Yarrowia lipolytica: one gene and its partner. The protein of the gene in region 2 purifies or fractionates together with the protein of the main gene of each other region. This does not show direct contact. Links are inferred from orthologs where the notes say so. Each region holds a gene or a part of one and is shown on either strand. Other genes may lie near its edges.

What was found.
Region 1: the proteins of YALI1_D07729g (region 2) and YALI1_E41399g purify together in Saccharomyces cerevisiae (affinity purification with western blotting; 3 studies listed by BioGRID). This does not show direct contact. The link is inferred for Yarrowia lipolytica from reciprocal best matches to the Saccharomyces cerevisiae genes GAS1 and EMP24.

The regions. Positions count from the first base shown.
Region 1 is NC_090774.1:4,138,326-4,141,410, forward strand, and holds YALI1_E41399g (uncharacterized protein), read left to right. Parts: upstream 1-1,598; coding exon 1,599-1,787; intron 1,788-1,881; coding exon 1,882-2,295; downstream 2,296-3,085. Other genes in the region: YALI1_E41393g (uncharacterized protein), read right to left, coding at 63-1,019; YALI1_E41421g (uncharacterized protein), read right to left, coding at 2,543-3,085. UniProt on the Saccharomyces cerevisiae protein: Constituent of COPII-coated endoplasmic reticulum-derived transport vesicles. Required for efficient transport of a subset of secretory proteins to the Golgi.
Region 2 is NC_090773.1:770,662-774,792, forward strand, and holds YALI1_D07729g (uncharacterized protein), read right to left. Parts: upstream 2,306-4,131; coding exon 647-2,305; downstream 1-646.

The DNA of each region.
Region 1 (3,085 bases), on a different chromosome or scaffold from region 2:
ATCTGAGAGACACAACACTACACAAAACAACAGTAGTTATCATATGACGTATAAATTACTAATTACAACAAGGCCTTGGCAATCTTGGCATCTCCAATCTCAATTTCTTCCTCCTCTTCTTCTTCCTCGTCACCCTCACCCTCGTCTCCCTCTTCTCCCTCCTCGTATTCGCTATCTTCATCTCGTACCTGCTTTTGCTGGGCCTTGACCTTATCCTGCTTGGCACGCTCATCCTTGAACTTGGCGGCTTTGGCGTCCTCAACCTTTTTGGCCTCCATAGCCTTGGCCTGGGCATCGGAAGCCGGCCGCTTCTTGCCCAGCTTCTCAGCCAGGTCGGTGGGGCTGGCGTTAGAGTCTTCAGCCCCAGTGGCAGCCCCAGCTCGAGCCTCAGCGGCCCCAGCGGCATCGTCTGCATCCATGTAGTCCTCAAGCTCTTCAAGGTCATCTTCCTCCTCCTCTTCCTGCTCCTCCAGCTCCTCCTCCAGATCCTGCAACTTCTTTTGGGTTTTGGCCTTGTTTACCTCGTCAGCCTCGTCGGCCTTAACAGCCTTGCCACCAGCCTCAGACTTGAGAGGCTTTGTGTCCTTGGAGTTGGCGGCAGGCTTCTCAGCCTTCTCAGGCACTTGGGCAGGGTCAGCGGCAGGAGCTCCCTTTCGAGCATTCACCTTGATTTTGGCATCCTCCTTCTTAGCAGCAACAGTGGGCTTGGGCTTGGGCTTCCCCAGCACAACCTCCTGCTCTCGAGGGTCCTTTCTCAACGGAGCAGGCTTCTTTTTGACCAGAGCCAGCTCGGGCTCGTTTGGATCAGAGTTGTCTCGCATTTGCATCAACATGACGGTGGCAATGAGCGAAAAAACGAAAATGTATGCAATGGCCCGTTTGGCGGTGTTTGTGATGAACCCAGGCTTCTGCCGGGGCACAAAGCTGGGGTCTAGACCCTTGCCTCCTCGAGGCTGGGCTAGCGTGAAGTGGTTGCCACCCAGATCGTTTCGAAAGGCCAGTTTCTCGCCGTATCCCATGGTTGCGTGCTTGTTAGGGTGGTGATGTACTGTACTTCTGCTGGAGGTGCACCGCTGATGTCATGCGATGAGGTATATACTCCCGTGAAATCTGGGTTAGGTTTGGGAGAATGTGATTTCTGGAGGGTGTACGCACAGTAAACGCAATGAGACACGGAATGTCGCGTGATAGAGATTGGGATTTTCGGCACAGTCGATCATTTTGTATATTGCTAGCTACTCGTAGCCGGTATATATGTTATGTTATGTTGTACTTGTACATACTATACACCTTATTGGGTATGTATGGGTTTGGTCTGGGTGAGGAGTATGTACAAGTGATCTCAATAATACTCGTAACCTGTCAAATTCTTGGAGAAAAACATGCCTGTCTTGTAAATATTGGATTATAACTCGTTTTTTCCGGTCCTAAGCAATTTTCCGCTCTTGTATTCAAGTACTGTCCCCCTTCACAGTCTCCACTCTCAAATTCACTATTACGCTTGCTCGCGTTTTTAGGTTTGGGAATCCTTTAACGTGTCATTTGTATCCTGTGCACTGCGACCTTGATCTTCCTCCAACACCAACACAAAACACAACATGAAGTTCCTCGTTTGTCTTCTGGTTCTGGCGCTGGCCTCCGTGGTCAGCGCTCACAACGTGCTCCTGCTGCCCTGGAAGCGACAGTGCTTCTACGAGGATGTCAAGAAGGGTGACACTCTGGCCGTGTCTTTCCAGGTCGGAAACCGAGACCCCCAGGCCGGTGGACAGCTTGCTGTCGACTTTGTGGTGAGTATTATATGAAAAGGGACGGCAGGAATGGTGGATTGAATCGTTTTCGGCGCGTGACGCGTCGAATTATCGTGCCATACAACTAACAAAGATCAACGACCCCCATGGAAACCAGGTTGTCAAGCAGCACGAGGTTCCTGACGGAGACGTCCAGGTGCCCATCCAGGTCCCCGGCAGATACGAGTACTGCTTCTCCAATGAGTTCTCCGGCATTGGTACCAAGGATGTGACCTTCAACGTGCATGGTGTCATTGTCATTGATCTCAACCAGCTGACCGACGACGCTCTGGATCAGGAGATTGCCAAGCTCAACCAGGTTGTGCAGGAGGTGCGAAACGAACAGAGCTACATTGTTGTTCGAGAGCGAACCCACCGAAACACTGCTGAGTCCACAAACGCCCGAGTCAAGTGGTGGAACATTCTGCAGCTGGGTGTTGTTGCCGTCAACTCTCTGTTCCAGATCTACTACCTTAAGCGATTCTTTGAGGTCAAGACTTTGGTTTAATGGGATAAAAATACATGTTCATTGGTTACAAGTGCGAGGCATTTCGTGTAGTGTGGTGTTTCACCGCCGTGGGGCGTATTATGACGTGTAAGATATGGTGATGTACAAGTACCATAGTGGATCTGGGGATGTTTATTACTATTCCTCGTGTTAATCTGTGTATTCTAATCTATATAATATACTGTGAAGCTGTCAGGGGTTCTAGTTAGCGTGGCGTGGTGAGTGTACATTCTGTACAGTATGTACTCTATCGGGTCATAAAGTCGACAATCAGAGAGTTAAACGCTCGGGTGTTATCAAGATAAATATGGTGACCTGCTCTCTTGACCAGCTTGAACACGCTCTGGGTGTTGTTTTCATTGCTGGCGTTTCGGTTGAGAGTCTGGGTGGCCTCGGCTCCTGCCTCGGCATTCATCCAGTCCTTCTCTCCGTACATCCACATGGTGGGACACTTGATTTTGTCAAGGCGATCCAGTAGAGGCATTCTAGCCAGTGCTACAGGCTTGAGAAGCCGAGTCAGAGCCAGCTCTCCAGACGCCTTGCTGTCCATGAGCTTGTAGGAGTACAGATGGAGTTTCATTCGATCCTCTTCGCTGAGATCCTGGAATCGCCACAAAGACCAGGCTGACATGAGACGCACTCCTACTCCCGGAGGAGCCTGTCGGATCAGCATGAAGGGCGAGTAGTGGTGGGTCCACAGATACTTCATAAGCCAGTGGATTTTCTCCTGGGGAGGGATAGCGCCAGGATGGACCTTCATGCCTTCGTCGTGGGTGATGGCTGGGAACAG
Region 2 (4,131 bases):
ACACTGTCAAATCGACCCGCTCATAAGCTGTGTTTTACTGCTCTTGTCCCCATCCAGCAACCGGGCCCCGCCACGTCTGCAGATCTGATAATCCATGGCCTGTTTGGGTGAGTGGTAGTACAGCGCAGATTCAGTTTGGGTCTTGGGTTTTCACCACGTGCTCGTGACGCGCCAATTTTCTTGCTAGCGTCATTTTGGCGAAAATCTGCGAAATTTTGGCAAAATTCAGGGCACTGGTCCTACACGTACAGGTAGCGGTGTTTTTAGTGTCTTGTCAACGTCTGGAACCATCCGTGGAGTCGGATGCACAATAAATAGTGCAGTTTTACGACCCGTGGTGGAGTATTTTGCTAGTATTTTTGGTAGTATTCCCAAGTAGTTTATTGAGGTATTTGTTAAGTTAAAAATTACTCGAGGTTACTCTATAATGTGAAAAACTATCTTGAAAAATTTGTGATCTGACCATTTCTCGGCACTTGTGATTGGCCGATGACGCTTTTTTGAGACATTTGAAAAGGTCGCTTGCTCAGCTTCATTTTGACACCACAATTGACACCACAAATCTGCCCCCCCCCCCCCCACCCCCATTTTTGTACTACCTACAAATGAATGCTGAACCGCTCTTCCGATCTAACTTTTTAGAATGTTAAACAATAACGGCCATGATGGCGATGGCGCCAAACACGACGGAGGCAACCACCTTCTCGGCAGCCAGCGAGGCGCCGGCGCTCTTCTTGTTTCCGCCCTTGGAGGACGAGGCGGCGGCCGAGCCAGAGGCAGCGGCAGCAGCAGAGCCCTTAGCAGAGCCCGAGCCAGAGCCCGAGGATCCGGACGATCCAGAGCCCGAAGATCCAGAGCCGGACGAGCCGGAAGAGCCGGACGAGCCGGAAGAGACAGCAGTGGCCTGGGCGTTCTGGCAGTTGGATCCGGTCTTGGGGCTCTGGACAATGGAGGCCTGGGAAGAAAAGTCGCAGGCCTGAGAGTTGCCGTTCTGGGAGTCGTAGTACTTGCCCATGAGGAAGTTGAGCTTCTGCTTGGCGTCACAGAAGGACAGGTCTCCGTACTTGCCGGAGGTTCCGTTGGACTGGATCTCGGAGCAGTCCACATCGAGGTTACCGCACAGCTCTCCAAAGAGATCGCCGTAGTTCTTGGCGTTAGTGTCCGAGTTGACGACACAAGAAGAGCCATCGTTGATGCACTGACAGGTTCCGACCTTGGGGGTGGGAGGCAGGGTGGGAGAGCCTTTCCAGTTGGCGTTGAAGTCGGGGCACGAGACGCCACCAGCGGTCTGAGAGGGCTTGTAGTCGTTGGTGTTGGCGGAGGAAGGAGAAATCTTAGCCATCTGCGAAGACAGGTTGTTGAAGTCGTCGAGAGTGGAGACGGAGCTTCCGGAAACAGACACCAGACCGTACTGGTTCTGCTCCTCAAAGTACATGTAGACGATTCCTCCGGACCAGACGTCGGTCATGTTGGGGCCAAACAGAACGGGCACGTCGGAGAACTGTCGCGGCTTGACTCGGTTGCAGCCGTACTCGGAGAAGAAGATGGGGATGGTGAAGTTCTTGTACTCCTCGGTTCGCTGCTGGTAACCGGAGGACTCAAAGGTGGCGTCTCCACACCACTCGTAGATGTTGATTCCGTAGAAATCGGCTGCCTCGGAGGCGTTGCCGCACTGGAAATAGGTGGCCAGGTCGTCTCGGGTCTTCTCGTCATCGTTGGTGGCGTATCCGACGGGAATGGATCGGTACGACTTCTCCTTCATGTACGACTTCATGTCTCGGATGGCAGCCTTGACGTAGGGAGACGCATCGGTGTTGGTGTTGTTGTTAGTGACCTCGTTTCCGGCAAAGAAACCCAGCATGTTGGGGTACTTTTGCATGGTGTCCACTACGCTGGTGTATCGCTGGTACAGATCCACGTCCCACGAGGGCGAGTTTCGGTTGATGGACTCGCCGGGCTGTGAGAGATCGGAAATGACGTAGATGCCGGCGTCGTTGAAGAGCTGCATGCATGTGTCGTGGTCCTTGGTGGTGTCGATGGCGTACACTCGAAGCACGTTGGTCTTGAGCTGCACCAGGTAGGGCAGGTCTCGCTTACAGGCGTCGCCGTCCGACAGAGGGTCCGAAAAGGTCTCCTTGGCTGTCTCGTTGGCCGAGTCCTGCTGGTAGGCCACTCCTCGGATGTAGAATTGAGAGCCGTTGTTGGAGTAGAAGAACTTGTTGCCCACAATGTCAATAGAGGGCACGTCTGCTGCTGCCACCAGCGAGGCCAGGGCAGCAGCGATTGAGACCGCTGAGAACTTCATTTTGGAGAGGGGGAGGCAAGAGAAGGTGTATGGGAAGCGGGGTGATAGGAAAAAAGGGAGCCGGCCTGGGCAGAGAAGCCACTATATGTGTTTGTTGTAGACTGGCAATTGGCTTTTTCCACTTTGGGCAACGACAAAGCAAGGCCCCCTCGACTTTTCGCAAACTCTGCTCCTACACTGTGTGGGACGACGCATCTTAGGGCCAACTCTGTTACGCAGCCAAGAGACGGCATCTTCGCCCTTGCACCGGTGGTGTGGAGTGAGGTATTTAGTTTCTTGGGGGTGAAATTCTTGGCGCCAAGCGATGAGCTTGACCGGTCGGGAAAATAATACGACGCGTCGTGGAGTCGGCCTATCTACACCGGGAGAAATCGGCCCGCATCCAAAGCTGGTCCCAGGAGTCAGTTTATTTTTAGCCATCCCTCCCAACCCTCCTGTTTTCACAACACGCCTATTGCAGCTGAACTTTGCGGTTATCGCCCCCAAAGTTGCACGCTTGCCTGTTGGGTGAGCTGACGTGTTTAGGCTCCCGAGTTATTTTTCGGGCCCCAGAGGCTGTGTCTAGGCTGTGCAGATGAAGACCATGACGACGGGCTCTGGGCGATTGGGGACCACGGGGTTGATTTTTCGACTTCCCGTCCGTTTTGGCCGTCTCCTCCAGCTGCTACATGTCCCAATCTCTGTCCACTCGGGCCTCTTTTCCCGGAAATGCACAGGTGCCGTTGCCAAGCCGCCCCGACGTCTGCAACGCCAGAAACAACCGATACGAAGGATATCGACTGAAACCCAGACCAAAGAGGTAATGTAGTTAGGTGGAGAAGACTCAATTGGATGCAAGAGGCTGTAGATAGAGTCCCAGATCACAAGAACATTCATATCGCCGCTCCACCAGTACCAATAGATCCAAACTTGTACGAATACCCATACTCCTGGTCATACTCATACTTGTACTCACACTCACGCTCGTGCTCGTGCTCGTACTGTACAGTGTACTCCTCAAGACATCACTCACCACCAACCCCTCAAGCCTCCCCCTAACTCAACCTCAAACTCAGCTGGTTCAGGGGCACCACGCGTCTCAGGGTCACCGGTGGGGCGGAACGTGTTCCTTGTACGACAATGGTACAAAAGCAGTCTGTCAGTACAAATACATAGTGGGCCACACCAAATGTCATGTTGGTCCACTTACAGCTGGTGTCATCCATTCCATTCCCCTCCACTCCACCCCACTGGGCTGTGCAGTGGAGACTGACAGGAGAACAAAGAAGTGCCAAACAAATGTACTACGGTAGCGTGCTGTCGACAATCACAATACCAGATCTGCACTCTGCTGTGTGATCCACCTCATCTCATCGCAAAAAGAGTTGGTCCATTCAGAGTGCTTTTTTTTTCCTTCTTTCTTTCTCCTTCTCCTTGTATCACAACCGCCCGTCAGAGTTTCCGGGCCGGTTACGTTCAAAAGGGTGACCACGGCGCGCGCGTCGAACGAATCACGTGACTAGAGGTACCGGGGGCTGTCGATACACGTCTCGTCACGTGACTGCTCAACTCGGCTTTATCGTTTCACGCTTTTCCGCTCGCAAAAAGCCTCCTTATGTCCTTTGACACGCACATGAATCACGCGCACAACGTTATGCTTGGACGGCCGACAAGAGTTTGAGTGCTAACAAGGGATGAAGTGTGTTCGTGTCGTGTGTGTGTGTGTGTGTGTGTTGGCGACGCGAAGGCGATTCACGTGATTTGCCCTTTTCCCACGTGATGTGAAACCGCAAGAAGACCTACAGCCTCGCGTACAACCGCAGAAACATTCTTGTGTGGATGGAAGG